Linked DNA regions of Lepisosteus oculatus. The protein of the gene in region 2 interacts with the protein of the main gene of each other region in a pairwise test. Links are inferred from orthologs where the notes say so. Each region holds a gene or a part of one and is shown on either strand. Other genes may lie near its edges.

What was found.
Region 1: the proteins of catenin alpha-3 (region 2) and plakophilin-3 interact in a two-hybrid assay, tested with the Homo sapiens proteins (2 studies listed by IntAct). The link is inferred for Lepisosteus oculatus from reciprocal best matches to the Homo sapiens genes CTNNA3 and PKP3.

The regions. Positions count from the first base shown.
Region 1 is NC_090716.1:2,056,045-2,066,157, reverse strand, and holds the start of plakophilin-3, read right to left. Parts: upstream 4,752-10,113; 5' UTR 4,341-4,751; coding exon 4,112-4,340; intron 1,534-4,111; exon of another isoform or gene 1,442-1,533; intron 1-1,441. UniProt on the Homo sapiens protein: A component of desmosome cell-cell junctions which are required for positive regulation of cellular adhesion. Required for the localization of DSG2, DSP and PKP2 to mature desmosome junctions.
Region 2 is NC_090699.1:34,543,803-34,553,601, reverse strand, and holds the start of catenin alpha-3, read right to left. Parts: upstream 3,970-9,799; 5' UTR 3,829-3,969; intron 2,603-3,828; 5' UTR 2,598-2,602; coding exon 2,499-2,597; intron 1-2,498. UniProt on the Homo sapiens protein: May be involved in formation of stretch-resistant cell-cell adhesion complexes.

The DNA.
Region 1 (10,113 bases), on a different chromosome or scaffold from region 2:
CGATTAAGAATTTACTGCGGAGTGCCTGCCAGATCTCGGGGCTTCTGCGGCGTTTTTGCTAATTGGCGACGCTCGTTTTCAACACGCGCCGAGTTAGACAAACCGTTCCCGACACTCAGGACCGAAAAGGAACAATCCCACGATCTCTCTCTCGCCTGGCTTTCCAGGCGGACTAACGGGTAGTCTCGTTCATCCTGGAGAACGATCGACTCTCCGCGAAAGGGCGGAACACGGCCTGCATGTCACGTTGTTTCTCCAGAACTCCCCGCCTGTGATGTTATCTGTCTGGCTAAGGGACGCGCCTACCCGCCACACCACCCCGGGCGGAGTCGCCTGCAACAGTTCAGGCACGCAAGGCATTTTCTCACACTTCGGAAAATGAGGAAGGATTCTTTTTTTTAAAAAAAAAAAAGGACGTAGAAAACTTTCACTTCATGATATATTACCGGCCTTTATGGGAATCATATTTACAAACGTAGGTGTAACGTGTAATTTTCACTATCTCTACATTCCCCCCCGTGTTTGACTGGAGTCAAGGTCACAGCGTCCTTTAACAGTGTTGTTCTAGCACACAGATTCACTCTAGTAACTGTCAATCCATACCACTGTACGTCAATTACTGGCCGATAACTGGTCGATTGACTGGAGCACGAAGCAGGGGCCGGTGTGAAAACCCCACACCAGCTGAGGTATTAGGAACTGGGACTGGTCATGGATCTGTTCATTCCAGGCACCCCACTGGGCTGGACTGGGCCAGGTCAGGCCACATCAGAGCCCCAGAGTCCATCACCCACCCTTGACTGTCACATCCTGACATGTAGCACCCCGAGACCTGGCTGCACCAGGATGAGTGACCTGCAGCTCTGTAGCACCCTGAGCCCTGACTGCACCAGGATTAGTGACCTGCAGCCCTGTGATGCCCTGAGCCTTGACTGCACCAGGATTAGTGACCTGCAGCTCTGTGGCACCCTGAGACCTGGCTGCACCAGGATGAGTGACCTGCAGCGCTGTGGCACCCTGAGACCTGACTGCACCAGGATGAGTGACCTGCAGCTCTGTAGCACCCTAAACCCCAAACTGCACCAGGATTAGTGACCTGCAGTGCTGTGGCACCCTGAGGCCTGACTGCACCAGGATTAGTGACCTGCAGCTCTGTAGCACCCTAAACCCCAAACTGCACCAGGATTAGTGACCTGCAGCGCTGTGGCACCCTGAGGCCTGACTGCACCAGGATTAGAGACCTGCAGCTCTGGAGCACTGGAGCACCCTGAGCCCTGACTGCACCAGGATTAGTGACCTGCAGCGCTGTGGCACCCTGAGCCCTGACTGCACCAGGATTAGTGACCTGCAGCGCTGTGGCGCCCTGAGACCTGGCTGCACCAGGATTAGTGACCTGCAGCGCTGTGGCGCCCCGAGACCTGGCTGCACCAGGATTACTGACCTGCGGCCCTGTGATGCCTGCTGCCAGCAGAAGCCAGCAGATCCAGAGGGGGCTACGCATTTGTTTTGGCAACACTCTCAGCTCACCACTGCGTCGAGGTGGAAGTGAAAAGGGCGCAGCACCACCCACGGCAGAAGCAGCCGCCGCCGCCTTGTTACGAAGACACAAAACATCCAGTCTGGTAGCCTTCGGCGTGAAGGAACCACGCGTCCGCAGATAAGAGGTACATCACGTCCACTCGCACAGCCCGAGCGGATGGGAGCTGCAGCAATCAGGAGCGTGACTCACCCTTTCTGCAGACCAGCAGACTTTGTCACAAACTCCCCCTTGACACACCCAGGCCCGCCCTCCCACCCACGGGACCTGCTCCTTTCAGGGCATGTGCTCAGCGTCCCGGGCAGGACGTGTCGGGCGCGGAGAGCCATTCCCAAGGCCCTCACAGGAGCAACAGCGAATGACACCCCCCCCCACCACCACCACGAGCAGCGACCAGCAGAGAGCTCACGCCCGTAGCTCCAGCGGCACTGTCTCGCCCCGCGCGCAGAGATATTCCCCCCGGGGCAAAACAAACTGCACCGTCTCGTCAAGCGAGAACACTGGAGGGGTGGGGTGGGGTGGGGGGGTGGTGTTTTGACTAAGTCATTGCTCAATAAGATCAGGCAGAACAGGACGCAAGCTCGCCACAAACATCACAAAGCATTGCTCTGCTGCTCCAGAGCCCCAGGGGAACAGGGGAACACTTGCAGAACGTCGGCGAACCCGCACAGGGCTCACCCCAGAGCCCACCGCCGGGACGTCCCGCGCGAGATCTGCACGCCGCAGTGGGTCAAAGGGAACAAGATCCCTGTGGGCCCAGGTGCGCTTTATCCGTCCCCTGGCCTACGGGAGGTTTTCCAGCACTCTGCCCTCTCTCATCGTCTGCTGTGCACTTGCCTCGTGCGTGGCCCGGGGGGGGAGGGGTTCGGCCCTGTCTCTGTGCTCTGCACGTTCAGGGCGATTCAGGGGAATTTTTTCTGGTTGCTGTCCTGACCCGACTTGCACGGCAATTCACACCCCGAGCATCAGCCTGTCTGCAGCACGGAGCAGCAGAGGAAAAAAGCCTGCAGCGAGGCAGAGCCTGGGCTTCACATCTGAACACACAAAGGGCACTAAACAATAGAGTACAACATGGCAATTTAAGGCTTTCTACAAACAATACGGGTTGGTTGCAATTATGGTACTCCAGCAGCCAAATCACCCTGCAGCTCCCAGCTGGCAGCCCCACTGGAGCTCAGCAGTGTGAGCCTGGCCAGTACCTGGATGGGAGACTCCTGGGAAAGCTGAGGCTGCTGCTGGAAGAGGTGTCAGTGGGGCCAGCAGGGGGCGCTCACCCTGCGGTCTGTGTGGGTCCTAATGCCCCAGTATAGTGACGGGGACACTGTACTGTAAAAAGGCGCCGTCCCTAGAATGAGACGTAAAACCGAGGTCCTGACTGTGATCATTAAAAATCCCAGGGTGTTTCTCGAAAAGAGTAGCCAAATTTCCCATTGGCCCTTATCAATCATGGCCTCCTAATAACCCCCCTCTCTGAACTGGCCTCATCACTCTGCTCTCCTCCCCACTGAGAGCTGGTTTGAGTTAGAGGACTGGAGCATCATCCAGGTGGGGCCTGTAAAGAGCTCTGAGTGGGGTGTCCAGAAAAGCGCTCTATAAGTGTAAGCAATTATTATTACTACCCGACAAACAAGAAAAGGACTCCTGTCCTGGCTACTCTGCACTGGCTTCCCCTGGTTAATTGAGCAGTTGAGCTTGAAATGATTTTGCTGGCATTCCAAGCCGCGGGCAGCCTTGCAGAGATGTTGTGTCCAGCAGCCCCCACACCGAAGGTCTGGTTAAAGAGAGAGGGTGGGGCCGCTCCCCACAACCTTGAAACTGCTCTGCCAAGAACTCAAGCTCGCTGGCTAGTTTGAGCTCCATGCCGATGACTCACTTTTACAAGATAAATTTTGTTGCTTAATGGATTTCCTACTGTTTGCATGTGTAACTTTTTTTTAATTACTTTGATTTTTTTCAAAATATCTGCACTTATACCTGCTTACTGGCTCTTCTCCATCTTGTTAACCTATTCTATTTTATTTCTAAAAAAGCACTTTGAGTCTTATGCGCGAAAGGTGCGTTATAAATGAGTGAAAAACAAATCATAACACCTTAAAGAAACTTAGGTGTTAATAAGCCATTACCCTCCCGCAATATATACAACACATACAGCAGTACCAGGGTTTACCGTTCTCATTAGATCAGACCGTACTGATCTATAGTATAGCGCAGGAAACTCCATGGAACATAATTACCACAAGCCAGCTCGGCACACAACAAGCGATCACTTTCGCCTCGATACTACCGTTTTGTGACAGCTACATCTCACCCACGGCTCTCGCCGTGAACGGAGCGGGCCAGTTTCTGAAGAGGCAGAACCGAAGACAGCGAGTATTAAAAAAAAAAAGAAAAGTCAGGAAGGGTCTCCGGCCACACTAAATCAAAGCCTCCTTCATGGGTTTAAGGCTGTCCGCACGTACTTGGGGTTGGGGAGGTGACACACACACCAGGTGCGCAAGAGAAACACACAATAAACGCGACACAAGACCACAGCGCAGCAGCTGCCGTCGGCGAGGAAGGACTGGCGAGTCTCACCTGAGGCGGTGCTGTGGGCTGTCCCGTTCACCGCCCTCGACACGGACCCGGAGGACTTCTCGGCCAGGCGCAGCTGGACCTGCTGCTGGACCCGGCGGGACCGGGAGAGCTCGTCCGAGCGGGTGCCGCCGCGCTCCAGCTGGATCTCCGAGGGGACGGCATAGCTGCTGACGGGCGTGTTGGTGGGCTGCACAGTGGACAGAAAGACGGTCTCAGAAATGACGCTCATGGCCGGGTCCGGAGGCGCTGCTCCCCCGAGTTCCGAAATAAGATAAATCCCTCCGTGGAGTCAGAGAGGGGCGCCTCTTTGTCCTCCTGCTTCTTCTCCTTGACGACGATGTCGGCAGGGAAGGTGTTAAGGGCTGGCGAAAAGTAAAGTTGCTCGGCACGGCGCACGAACAGGAAACCGCGCTGCAGGCGAACGCCACCGGACTGGATTTAACGAGCACAGACGTTGCTCAACTCGAGCAACTCGCCTCGGCTGGGCGCTTTTTTAGGAAGAAAAAAAATTATTAATCTTCTGCGCTCCTCGGTGCTAGCAACGTCTCTAGTGTCCTCGGACCTATTTTTATCCCATTCGCTTCGATCTGAACTGCACTCGCTCCCGGTGGACGAACATCAGTAAGGCAGTCGTCTGAGGGCGGGGGGGGCGGGGCTTCCTGCATTACCTTATCCAGGTGAGCCCGTGAGCCCGCCCCCCGCGCTGGCCCCGAGACCCCCTCTCCCCCCGGAGGCCTTAAGGTGGACCGGACAGTTCGGCGCGCCAGCGAGATGCCGAATAATCAACACGTCGGATTTGTTGTTTTACTTCTGCCTAACGCACTCAGCTGTCTCTTCCTAAACTACTCTTCTCCACTGGCAACAATGAACTACGAATTAAATCCGACCGCACCGCGCTGAACTACGGTGTGTAGAGCAGAAAATATAATTACCACACACCAGCTCGGCACACAAACAGCAGTCCTATTGATATTACGTTGACAGAAAAACATTTTTTAAGATAAACGTGCATCCTGGATCCACTTTGTTAGTACCACGCATTATATACAATACAGCTTGATGTATTTAACAACATTTTATCAACTGATTTATTGATTTTTGACTGTAGAATCAACCTTTAGTAACGCTATTTAAGAAACTTTGATCTATGTTAGTAGTTCTACATCTTTTATGCGAGTGCGAGTCTCCTTAATATTTAATCTGATGTTACTAATAGTTGCTCCTTCGTCTGAGAATATTTTCTCCGAAGGTATTAAAATTATAGTACTGTCCTAAAACGTTTATCTGGACTAAAGCGGTGTTGGACTCCAGTGGAGCCCTCTATTAATTAAAGATGATTGAAACATTGATTTATTTTCCAAACCCACGAACTGAACTTGTTTTTAAACAGTTTCGCCTCTTTACAAATCTGTCACCGGTGCCCGATGACTGCATTTTAGAGTCCCGTCGTCTCCAGCACCGCTCGTAATGAGATTGTCACAGCGTCATTCCTACACCTTTCTGTGAATCGTCGCTTGATAACCCGCTAGAGGCTGTTTGGAAGACCAAGGCAGAACAACTGTTTGAAATAAAAAAAAACAATTCTTTATTTTTCGTCTGCAGCAAAGCGTTTTCTTCTAGTTGCTTTAGTAAAATGCCAAGCTGTGGGAATGGGTCTCTGGGTTATTCCCAATTGAGAACGCGTTTTTAATGCGATTTAACTGGCGCGGCGGTTAGCACTTCTGCCTCGGGTTCGGAACCGGACCTGTGGTGCTGTCAGGGTGGGGTTTCCTCCCACAATCCAGAAACACACACTTGATCTTAGCCAAAAGGCCGACATCGCATCGGCAGGTCAGTTGTTTCTGGGGGAAATTGACCCTAGGTGCAAGTGTTTTAGTGTCTCAAGTAGTTCCCGTTGGGAGCCGCGTCAGCGCGCTTAGACGGCAAAAGGAACAGGTACAGGTTTATTCCCTGCCTAAAAGAGAAGAAAAGAAACACGACGTTTCGGCTGTGGAGCCTTCTTTGGGTGTGTTTGTGTGTGCGTGTGCCCTGTGATGGCCTGGCGTCCCGTCCAGGATGTACCCTGCCTGGCGCCCGTTGCCTGCTGGGATAGGGTCAGGCCCAGCGACCCTGAACTGGAGAAAGGGCTTCGACAATGGCCGGATGGACAGATGCCTACTGCGGCCGTACTTCGTGTGCTCTGTGGCCTCTCTGCTCTGTTCTCAGCCCCACCCCGACTTCTGCTTTCTCCGGAGAATCGACACTCTTGCCAATTACACCTTTAACAAAAAAAAAAACAAACGACCGTGAACGGGGGGCGTTTCGCCGAACAAACGTTGCTCGGAATCGAAAACGGCACGGTGGCGCGTCGGAACCTTTTGAAGCCAGGGCGGTTCTGGACTGGACGTGTCCGTGACCCCCCCGGCTGTGTGAATGACGAGCGGTGGCCCGGGGCGGACGTCGCGGTTCGGTTCGGCTCCTGGGAGTTTCCGAGCCGGCCATGCAGGCGTCTCCGGAGAGCTGCGCTCCGCGCTCAGATGCGCAGCGGCTCGGCGACAGCAGTCCTAATGAATGCACGACCGGGGACTTCAAGCTCCCCCTACTTACATTTTACAGTGATTGAATATTTATGTGTAAAAAAATAAAAAATAAAAAACCCCAAAGGCGTCAGATATCTAGCCTCGTTAGGAAAGTTTACTGCGTTTACGTCCAAGAATAATCCAAAAAATGTTCCCAAACTTTGTGGATATGCCACTATCGAAAACGGTTTTAGTTCATCTAACTGTGTTGAAGTTCGACCCCGCTGTTGAATAGGATTCAGAAGCCAGGACTGGCTCCAAACGAGGAGAGGTCATTCACTGACCGCCAGCCCGCCGACACCCCCCTCTCGCTCGTTCTCCTGCCGTTTCGCACCTGCGACCTCATTTTTTTTTATTCCCCTAGATGACGACGCATTGATCCCACACGAACTCCGATGAAATTAAAAAGAGGGTAGGAGGGAGTGTGGGCTTTAAAACGGAAGCGCATTGCTGCCACCGAGGACCCAAAAACAAGATCCTCACCCTGTCCTCGCAATTAGGAGAACCTGATGTCGTCATTACGAGATAGTAATTCTCGCGTACTTCATGTGATCACGCGATAGCACAATTGTCATACAGTACCTTTATGGCCACGTGCGGATTTAACAGTTTTAAGCACACTGTTTGCACGTGTAACTGTTCATAACGGACCTATCGTCGCTTTGATCTCTGCATCCCACAAAACCGCTCCCCATGATTATAATGATCCTGTTCAGGTTTGCTAAAAATGGCAAGATTTCACTCGGACTAAAACCCCAGGTGAAAGTAGAGCCGTACAAATTCTGCAGCGCCGGACACTGACATGATCATTAAACCCGAAAGCCAGCCAAGCTCACGGTAGCTTCTAGATGCGTCCAGTGCACAGCGTAACAGGTCGTCCATACACTGGAGGAGTCATTGCTGTCTCAGGATTACGCCCGAATGTTTCACCAGCTGGAGCTCGAAAATAAAGACCTGAGCCTTCTGTTTCAAACAGTTGCTCTCCCTCGGATCCAGACAGCCTCTAGTGGGTCATCAAGTGGTGATTCAGAGAAAGAGGTAGAACCGACACTGTGACAAGCAGTCTTATTATGAGTGGTCTTGGACACGACCAGACTCCCCGGTTAATCAGTGGAAGAATGATTACTGGTGACAGATCTATAAACCAGCAAGAGGGACCTGGTATCCCAGCAGCATCTAACGTTACAGCTGCCCAGGGACCTGCAAAAAGGGCAGTTTTAACAAGTCACCAACATCACAATTCACACCTTTTCTTCAGGATAACTCTATATTGTTTTTTTGTCTGCTGTCCCCTTACGAACAGGCAGCAGTGTGTGGTTTCACTGGTATGAAGTGAGGTGCTTGAGTACTTTCGCACAGTAACTCCCTCGTGAATGTGGCACAGCAACGAGTAGGCCTGAGCGAAACTGCGGGAGGCAAGAGGCAAGAGCAGAAGACGCAGCATGAAGGCAGTGTCACAGCTCCTGGGGGCTGTGGGCAGGGGGAGCTTGAAAAACCTGCTCTGTATAATTACCATGGCAAGAGAGAGCCTGCCGGTGATGTCAGAGAGCCTGCCGGTGATGTCAGAGAGCCTGCCAATGATGTCAGAGAGTCTGCTAGTCACGAGAGAGAGTCTGCCAGTGATGTCAGAGAGTCTGCCGGTGATGTCAGAGAGTCTGCTAGTCATAAGAGAGTTCTGCTGTGTGAGCGAAATCTCTCACTGTAAGTGGGATCGCTCGTCTTGTTTCTCGATCGCGCTGTCCTGTCATCCAGCATCTACTTCCATCTCTGCCCAGAAAATCCTTTGGCGCTTCCTTGATTGACTACGGCCCTGTGCGTACCCCAAGCTAGAACAAGCCACCTTAATTTTGGATGCCAGAAGGCAACTGGGGTTGTGTTGAAGAGCCAGGCAGGACGACTGGTCCCGAGCCTTTTGGGATTTTTATTCAGCCCAAAGGTTTTGCCTCGTGCCTCCTGTTCCCACTCGCTGGGAAAATGCCCCCCAGGAAAGCTGCCCCAGATGGAGGCTGTGCCCGCTGACCTGTCCCCCCAGCTCACTCCTCCTCCAGAAGGAAGGATCAGAGCCAGGGCGGGAGGGGCCTCAAAATCAAGAGTCTCTCAACGCTCATTCAGCCTCTGCAGTACCTGTGACAGGCCTCCAGAAACTCGATTTGTCGTGGGGACAAGTGACGCAGGGTGGATTCTGATCATTACTAGGCCTTGCCTTGCACATCGACATGGCCAGCAGCCACATCACTCTGCAACTCAAAAACTGGCAGCCCCACTGGAGCCTGGTCAGTACCTGGATGGGAGACTCCTGGGAAAGCTGAGGCTGCTGCTGGAAGAGGTGCACACTGGTGGGGGTGGAGGGGATCCCCATTACCTGTAAAGCGCTCTGAGTGGAGTGTCCAGAAAAGCGCTATATAAGTGTAAGCAATTATTATTATTATTATTATTATCGAAAATTGCAGAGAACTTTTTGAGGTCCAGCTTTTGACACAACCCTGAAAAGTGAACTGTGCCACTGTGTTTCAAAACATACCCGTGGTCTACTTAAAAGTGCCCTTTCTCTCTTAGTTTTCCTCCTTTTCCTGGTTTGAATCAACGCAGTTGGTATCCTGTCTTTGTGCTGACTGGCTTCTCACACTGGCACAGCAGCTGGAATAAAGCCCATTGTGTGCTGCACAGGTGTGCCATTTGATCACACAGTGTGGCTGTTCAGCCCTGTGCCCCTCTTATCAGTGTGCACAGGCAGCTCCTCCCACCCCACCCCCCACACACAAGCTGTCTCACGCCTTTCCCTGTGGCAGCCCTGCTCAGACATCACTGGGAGACTCTCTCTTATGACTAACAGTCACTATGACATCACTGGAGACTCGCTTTTATGACTAACAGTCACTATGACATCACTGACAGACTCTCTCGTGACTAGCAGACTCTCTGACATCATTGGCAAAGGCAGAGCTGTATGTCACCAACAGCCTCCCTGCCCAAGGTGGGGAGTCCAGGTAGAGACTGGAGGCAGGGCAGAGCGGTGGCTCTGTGGCTCAGGATCTGCGCCTGTGGCTGGAAGGTTGCTGGTTCAAATCCCACAGATGGCAGAGGAATCCTACTCCAGCAAGGCCCTTAACCCCAACTGCTCCAGGGGTGCTGTACAATGGCTGACCCTGCGCTCTGACCCCCAGCTTCTCTCTCCCTGTCTGTGTCTGCAATTCCTAATGCAAGAAATTGTATAGGGCTAAGTAATGTTATGTTACCATTGTCCTCTGATACTGCACCACCGACTGTGATAAGTTATTATACAATCTGTCGATGGCCTTGAGCTCAGCCCAGCCCCTGGGTCAGAGGACAGTGCCAACCAGCTCTCTCACCAGTCTCTCACCCAGTCTCTCACCCCCCAGCAGAGCTCTTCTTGTGAGACAGCACGGCCCAGCCGATGAAGACTAGCCCATCGGTTAGATATTT
Region 2 (9,799 bases):
CCGTATCTGAACTAGCTCCGCTGCAAAAGCCGGGTTGCCCTCCCGTGTAGGATGATATTTAGACCCTATGCGAGGAAAAAGGAGCATAGACAGGGTTCAGGGGAGACACACAGGGTTAATTGGTGCTCACAGTGAAGTAGGGGAATATCCGAAGACAAACATATCCAAGGAGGTTCAAGGGGGAGTCAGGAAGCAGTCCATAAGTCCATTGCCGGGAGATCCATCAGGAGATGCAGACAAACAGGAACACATGACAAGACAAGAATCCAGGAAATACAGAGCTCTGTTCTAAGCCCAGGGCTGTGCCTCCTCCTGAAGCCTGGTGGTAGGCAGGCCATCGGGCTTCCATGTTCCAAAGATGAGCCCCAAAGACAGGAAGGAGTAAACTTTAACAGGGAAGCTAAAGCACAGTACACCAGGAAATAATGTAGCTAATAAAGACTAACATGAGGAGGTTGGAGAGTCCTCTGTAGGAGAGGATGGTAACTGTAACAGTACCCCCTCCTAGAAGGGCAGACTCCGGGTGCCCTTATAAAATAAAAACGAAGGTGACTAAACCAGGGACAGCTAAAAGCCAAGACTATATACTGTACAACTAGGAAAGGTTACTATATACGATAATGACTATTTACAACTAGAAAGTCACCAAAAAACGTGAATATATACAGGGCGGGCAGTCCTCTCTTTGAAAAAATACCAAGAAAGAGAAAAAAAAAAATCCAAAACAGGCAGACTCTCCAAATCAAAACAATCAGAGTCCAGACATCAAAAAAAAGGAAAAAAAATCCTGATGGGAACTCCATGGGGTCTTAGTAGAAGACTCAGCTTTCTGTCACAGGAGCTGGTTCTGACTCTCATGAATTGCGTAAGAAGACCCTATGTGTGATGGTATAATGTGATGGTATAAGAGTCTGGAGAAGGACATCAGGGAAGGCACAGCTAGGTAAGGTCGGGATAACAGACAGGGGATGGTGACTTGAGTGATCTGGTGCACAGGAGGCATGAAGTAGGCTAACGAGTCCAAGGAAGTCCAGAAGGGAAAATCGGGGCGCGGTCCGTAATCCAAAAGCCGCGTGGTCCAGCCATGACAAAGACCATTAACACAGGAATGGGAACGTTGAACCAGGAACATGGAAGATTAAAATCATAACGAGGCAAAGCGCTCCGAGCCCCAGACTCAGAGGTCAGGACGCCATGGTGAAGCCTATGCCTTTGGGCCACTTCTGTGCCTGATGGTAGGCGGGCTTCTGGGCGTCCGTCTTCCAAAGCTGAGCCCAGAACTACGGAGACGCCAAGCTTAAATAGGGAATCGGGGATAGGAAATAGCTGGGACAAATAAAGCTGGGAACACAACAAAAAATGTAGGAACACCCTCTAGAGGATGGAAGACGACTGTGACAGGTTTGTTCAAATAGGTCTAGTAACATAAAAAATGCCCCAAAGTGAATTTTGGGGGATGCAATAAAACTGAACTGAATAAAAACACAGACACACTAAGACATTATGACATTCAAGATATTTGCTTCCAGGGGTGAGGGATATATATATGTAATATATACTGTATGTAAGTAAAAGAATACATTCTGTTTACTCCGAATTATTATATGGGAATTGCTGATTGTAAACCTCTGATCAAGAGTCATAGCAGGTGTGAAATTAAGAGAACCCTATGACTCTTTCTGCAGAGAAACCCTTCAACAGCTTAGCATTCCACTATGCAAACTCTAAAACTGGCACATGCTGCTTGAAGAGACATATCTTTTCATTCTGCCCAAGACTACATAGGCAGTTCCTCACAACTTGCAATACGACTCCAGGATCAGCTATTGTACTGAGACACTTTTTCTGAAGCATAGGATTGGAGCTGATAGCAACTAACCAGGTAGCATAAAAGTGATTGCATGGATGAGCAGAGCAACAACAAAATAGTTGTGGCTAAATTCAGTCTAAAATCTGCACTTGTCTGGGCTGTATCACTCTGTGCCTGTAACCAAGACTCCTAGTAGCACCTAAGCTGGTCAAGAACAGTGGCTATTAGCTTTTGTAAACTCTCCTTCTAGCTGCTCAATAGCAGATTCTGTGGTTGACTGACCGTCTTCTGAACTGTCATTTTTCATTCAGATAGCCTTGTATCCTCTGAAACCCATATTTATCTAACCAGAACAAAAACCTTCTCATTTTCTGAGTGTCCTGAAAAAACAAGTCCACACATTCACAAGAAAATAGTACACCAGTGTATTATTAAGCTGCTTCCTAAAGATGCCATGCCCATCTTCAGTTTCTCCAATTATAATAATCAACTTCTTATTCATGGAGCAATTTGGTAGAAATAATTGGAGGCTTAAAAATGAATTGGTGGCTTGGTGTTAGATTACTTGTTTAGAAAGCAAGCATTTTGTTAACTGTTAATTTTCCTCTAAGATTAAATTCATTGATCAAAGTCAAAGGTAAACGTTTTTTCCATTGGTATGAATGTCCTTGTTTATTAAACTGAATACCTGTATAATCAGTGGTTCAAGCAACCTTTCCACTGTTATAGTCCTGATCTGAAGATCCTTAGGGTCGATTTTCAGCTGAAGATTTTGTAGCAGTGTCATTTTACCTATTAGAAAAAGAAGCAAAAAACACATAACATTATCCACTGCACAATAATAATTCAGTTTTCAAAAAACTCCCTTTGGTTTATATCAGTTACCTACATCACACAGTACAATTATTGGAGTTCCACATTAATACAGACCTTAAGGAGATATATTACAGATGAATCAATTATTTTACTTGACATCTGAGTCTTCTAAAATAGGTTTTGATAAAACAGTCTAATTACACATATCATATTGGATAAATACGACTGAACATGTATACAGTATGTAGTTTAATAATTAGAATATTAATGGAATACATGGTTACTCTGAGTGATTAAATATGAACAAAGTGAAAAATGTCATCAACTAATCAATAATTTGAAATCTAATTCTCAAAGATAAAGATTCATGTAGCTACTGTAAATGTTTTGAACCATTTATAAACTATTTAGAAACTTTTACCTTAGTATGTGACCCTGACCAAGGTATTCCTAGTAGATTATAAATAGGCTGCAGGCTTCCTTGCATTGCAAAAAATAAACCCAAGCTTTGCGTAGTATTCTATATTTAGCACGCCAACAGTTTCTCATCAAAGTGAAACTTCTATTTGGTTAGTTAAATTAAGAACAAAAATATATTTATAAAAACGTTTACATGTCAGAATACAGAAAAAACTTGCAAAATTATAAACTTTATAAACTGCAAAGTGTCGAAAATAGTTGCACACTGTGTCCAAGCATTCAAATGAGTTATGCACAAAAATAAATTTAAATATACAAATTATGTTATGTCCCTGGAAAACGCATTCTCTATTTAGTGGGGATGACTACAGTGTACAGGAAAACACCTGGTGTCTTTCGTTGTCATTACATAATTAAAACGAGCTGGTGTTTTCCACTTAATTAATTCAACTATTAAATGTATATAAATTACATATTTATAAGGACAAAGCTTAAAAAAGACTAAAACATCTTGCACGGTAAATGTCCGATACCGGTGGTCAACTAAATAAATTCTGTCTTATTAAGGCACGAAGTGTCCGTCATCTGTTTAAATGCACTCGCTACAACCGCACACCCTTTTAAATAATTAATCAAAACAATTGATTCCCTTCCAAGAAAACATTGAAATTAAAATTTAAAGTTTATGATTTAGTAAACTATTCGAAACAGTGACGTTTTAAATGAGATATCAAAAATACGAACAACTAGTGAGAAAGAAATAGCAAAACACGCATTCTTACCTTTCTAAGTCTAAAGCACAGAAAACTGTTTTGCTGACAAGGTTTAGCTGATGTACAATGAACTTTTCCACGCCTGCAGAGCACAAGTTGGAAGCCACAATCCAGTTAAAAGAAATTCAGCTGGTATTGCCCTCCCCCCTCCTCCCTCTGTTCGCTTGCCAGTCATGCGCTCCAATGCCTACTTAAACTGTCAGCCGAGCTACAGTTGGCGCATGATTTCATTGACATCCACTTGCTGCTTCTGAAAATATCCGAATGACAGGAGGGCTTCGGAGAGGTTAACACAGCTAACAAGAAGCAGGCCCCTTCCTCAAAGAGATTCTACTGTACCAGCACCTGGCAGATATACAGTAAATACTGTATACTGTATGTTCTTTGCAGAAAAATTCTAATAATCACCTTTATTTTATATAGTGTCTTTAATTGTACAATACATCCTGTCAAGTTACATGTTCAACTTCTCAAGCCTTCCAAATGGCAAGTTCTACATTTCAGATAAAATCAAAATCCCCATTTATAGTGATATAAAGAACTCTGTAATCCCTTTCAGTCATTTCAGACAGAACGTACATCAGTTACATGCTAATCACTTATACAATTCAATATTGACAGAGGAGAATATAGAAATGTTTAAGTATACTGTACTAACCTTTCCATTTAAGGAATCGATTAACATTTGACCTCTGTATATATGCAACTCTGTATTAGTTATTAATTTTTTTCTATTTTTGTTAATTAACCCAATATTTTTCGATTCAGACTTCAATGAATTTTTTTTTTTATCTATGGATTAAGCAGAAAGAAACTTTTGTACTAATACCAGCAAATATATACTTCTAAGGGGTGGATGTCAGAGTGAATATCGTGTACCAAGATGAATCCCAAAATCCAGAGTATATCACAATGGTTTAGGATACAAGATGGGATATCATCTAGGATCAGTCCATCACAAGAGAACAATTAAGACACACCAGTTTACTTAGCCACCATTTCTTTTGGGAGCTGGGAGGAAACCACAGCACCTGGAATAAATCCACATGAACAAGGGGAGAAATGCAAACTCACACAGAGTCTGAATGCCTGCACCTTAGTCCAGAAATGAATCCAGCAACTATGATCTGTGGAAAAGCAGTGATAGACACTGCACCACAGCTCTGAACCAATGGTGTATTGCAGTACATTGTAATTCCAACAGTGCAACTGTCAAGTTTTCTCACACATCCCCAGATTGAAACCTAGGGCTTTTGCATGAGGCCCTGCATGGTGCCAAGCTAACAGATACTGCCGTTTGTACCTCTGCTGCATTTGGTGTTTCATCCTGTGTCCCATACACACTACAGTGGCTCTCAAACAAGCCTTTTCATTTTAGTACAGTGGGGTGCATGCTTAATCCTTGGTAGGGTAGCTCTTGCAATTTAATTAAGCATACTGTATACAAAGTTTAAAAGCTCACATCTGACTGATTTCAAATACATTTGTCAGGAATTTAAAAATAAAGAGCAGAGCAACAGTGCTATATACCATATATGCTTAACAAAACAATATATTTCAAAGTGGTTTACAGTAAGTGGCCAGTACCCTACTTTCCATGCTGCTTTACACTAATGGGCAATAGTATTTACTCTTTTTTTATTTAAGCTTTTTTTGGTTTTATTGAGGACAGGCCCTTGCTGGATTCTATTCCTGTTGGTTTTCGTTAGTGAGAGATTCATGTGATTATGCAAAAATAAGAGAATGCGAATTATAATATAATGCATAATTTAATTGATTGAGATCTGCATAAATGGTTATAATAAGTCATTTCTGTCCACTTATGTTGGCCACCTGGATTATACTTTTTCTCCAGGTGAGGGTAATGGCAATATAATATTTGCTTATCACTGTATTGTTCTAATTATCTAATTTTCTAGCTTTTACTTTCTCATTCTACTGCAGTACACAGTCATAGATATTTGAGGGTAAAACAAAAGCCAGTAACTATTTACACTCTTTGTTTATTAGTTTGGATTTAAGCATTTGGACACTAAATTCATCGAAAACCAAGCTGACCTCTTTTCACTGGAACACTAAATTAAAGTGAAATAAACAAGTTAAAACCTCATGAAATACCCTAGGCACTGCTTATAATTGCCTTCCTTTTGGGAATAGGATTTTTATGCAAGGAGATGAATTATTGAAGCAAGCATTTGTTATTAACTGAAGAACTCTAAAAGAGAGAATTTCAATTGAGGAATATAACCTATCTGAGAACTGCCAATAAGAATCATATCCATTCTCCACACGAGTGTGGTGCAAAAGAGCTGTAATTTTTGCAAAGACACTATAACACTTCAGAGAAGCTGAATCAAGTTAGGAGCAACATCACAGACATTTCCCAGTAATCCATCCATCCTTTTGCCAACAGATTTATCCAAAACATCTACCAGTGTATCTTTGGACTATGGGACAGACCCAGAACACCTGGAGGAAACAACACAAACACAGGGAGATCAAACAAACTACACACAGATAGCACACCAGGAACTGAAACCAGAGCCCAAACACAGCAAGGCAGCAATGCTAACCACTGTGTCACCATCCAACCCTATTTCAAAAATATTAATATAATATAAAATATTAATATCATACACAGTATAAGCATTTTAAACATTCTATGAATGCTTATGATGCATAAGTTTAGTATCATTAAGATACAATATTGAGAAGCTGCCCACTAGATAAATCTGGAAGGCAGTTAGGCACATATTAAGTTGGAATTGCAAAGTAAAGTTTCATCACTGAGGATGAATGTGAGAAGAGAAAGAAAGATGTAGCCATAGCAATTAAACAAAGTGTAGATCACCAGCAGCCCTATCAGTCTTCAATTCACAAGTGGCACTGAAGCTAAGCAGTAGTAAGCTTGGCCAGTACCTGGATGGGAGACCTCCTGGGGAAAAACTAAGGTTGCTGCTGGAAGGGGTGTTAGTGGCTCCAGCAGGAGGTGCTCACCCTGCGGTCCATGTGGGTCCTAATGCCCCAGTATAGTGACAGGGACACTATACTGTAAACAGGTGCCATCCTTCGGTTGAGACGTAAAACTGAGGTCCTGACTCTCTGTGGTCATTAAAAATTCCAGGGTGTTTCTTGAAAAGAGTCCTGGCCCAAGTTTCCCATTGGCTCTTACCAATCATGGCCTCCTAATAATCCCCATCTCTCCTCCCCACTGATAACTGATGTGTGACGGGCGTTCTGGTGCACTATGGCTACCATTGCATCATCCAGGTGGATGCTGCACATTGGTTGTAAAGCCATTACCTGTAAAGCACTTTGAGTGGATTATAGATCATATTAGATCATATTATAGATCAACAAAATGAATCTGTTTAAAGTCACAGGTATAAGGGGCTTGCTTTTTCATAGAGAATATCAATTCTTCCTCTTCATTTAAATAAGCCATTCTGCAATAACTAGTCTAAATTAGAATAATGGCTAAAAATTAACTTCAAGTTCTTTCGATGTTTCAAAAAGATATTTTGAATTTTTACATACAGTACATTTCATAAAAGATTCCTATAGCAGAAAGGAAGAAAAATTGGGAAAGGTGATTGAGATCCAGACTATACTCTCAAACTAAAGATTAATAAAAATATCTGTATTGTAGCTTTACAAATGATTGTACTATGATTGGTCTACAATGATTGTGTACATACTATACATTTAATTTGTATGTACTGTATTACCATCATAATCTCCAAGGTCCACAAAATTATTCTAATTTAGTAATAGACATGAAACCCCAATATGAAGTCTGTAGAAACAAAACTTCTTAAAATGAAAATTAATTTCCATAGAGATCTATCACAGCTTAACCTTACTTATTAGCCTACACAGAGATGGTGGAGAATCAATTAATGTTTTTGTTTCGTAACATATTCCTTTGCTGTAACATACTAAGTAAACAACAATATTTTCTGCAATTTCACATGTTAATGGGGCTGGCAGTGAAACCAAATTTGTTCTCCATGCTCCAAATTCAACATGCGCTTTAAAGAATGCAACACCCACTTCAGGAATGTGTAAAAATATGCCATCAGTAAAACATTTTTTTCATCCTGTGCTGTTTGATGGTGGGCATCACAGTGCAGCCATGGTTAAGTCAATACTTATTATAAAAACTGAACTGTACATCACAGGTTCTGAAAAGTAGCTGTGAAAAGAAGTAAAAACAATAAGATGTGTATGATTACTTCTTCAATGTGCATGCTGCTCATGTAAGAACTTGCCAGAAGGGAGCCATTTCAGATGCCCTTCTTTTTGTTAACAGTGGTAGGAAGTAATATATATATATATTATCACTCCTTCAATTCATAGAACTTTCTATTTCATTTTATTTTCCAGCAATTTCATTTAAGAAACGTGCAACACTTACCTACTCTGGACATCTTGTGATTCAGCTTTGATTCAGATATGAAACATTTTGTCATGTGTTTTTCATTTACAATACTGCACATACAAAACTTACAAGTTATAGGTTTATTCCATGCTGAAAAAAGAGGAAAGAAAACACAACATTTCGCCCATGGAGCCTTCTTCAGGTGTGAGAAAGACAGGGCAGAGGGCATGCAAAAATTAGCTTGACTTAAATTTAGATAAAATATTAAGCATATGAAATTGCAATTTTTGTAGGTTTTTTTTTCATTAGCAGATAGCCTGCAATATTCACATCACTGTCACCTCATGGCCAAAATCCATCTGTGAATCTGTGAGCAAAGAGGATTGACAGACAGCCACACTCTGATTTCATTGCTTGCATTCCAAGCTTCTGAAATCTGATCAGGACTAGTCACTGTGGCAGCATTAGGCAAATTAATTCAAGCCAATTTTCTTTTTAAAGTCAAAGAGAACTAGGCCAGTGAAGCATTGCTTGGAGTCCAGCCAAAACATGCTGTTTAACGTTACCAAATTCAAAATTTCTTCATAACAGCAAGATTCAATATGAGATACAGTATGCACTTCTAGCAAAACAAGAACTACAGAAGGTGTCTGCATTTACTTAAATATGATGTGCTTAGATTTCGAAAACAAGAAATGTTAAAAATAACCATTTATAATTATATATGCATTCCAAAAACCTTCTTCTCTGGAGTCTCTTAAGCTGTAGCAACAAAAACTACCAAGAGAAAGAAGACAATAAGAAACCATTCTAATGCCTGCTATACAGATATCTCCTTTCCTGTTACTGTTGCTCTGATCGGCTAATGCAGTCTAATCTGTGGATATACGGTAGAATTAATTGATTTCACACCTTTGTCAATGTCATTGTTTTCTCTGTATAATTTTTGCAGTTTTTTCATTTGAGAAATGAATGGAAAAGTACATAATATCACATTAAAGCAAACAGCTTCCAAAGCAGCAGCTACCACAATGACAAAGTAGATGTATCTCACTGAGTCAACACCTCCACATGCCACAATAAATACATTTTTAAAAATGTACAACTGTTGGGATTTTAAAGCTCTTTAGTGATGAAACTTGAATGTGCCCTGAAGATAAGAAGGTCTTAGGGAATATTAATTCTCTGACTGAAGCAACAAACTCACAAATAGGGGTCTATGGCATTCTGAAGCACATGGCCCTTGCTCATGCATCCTGAGGAATTTACTGTGTGCAAATGAAATTATGTACATAAAATGCATCAAAGATGTGTGGTGTTGTTAGGATTTCCTTTTTCAATTTTCTTCAGTTATAATTTTTCACTATTTCTGATTTTGTTGTACAACACTTGACCTGTCATAAAACTAAAAATGTGACCACATTGTTTGAAAATAATGTGAAATTAATCTTTTTCTTCATCATGTACTATCACACACAAAAACACCTACATGACTACTGTGCCCAAAAAAACATCTTGTATCTGGATTTGAAAGGTTTCTGCTTTGATGGTTCATTTGTTTAAGATGGTTCTGAGTGTACTGTATATGATTTCAATAAA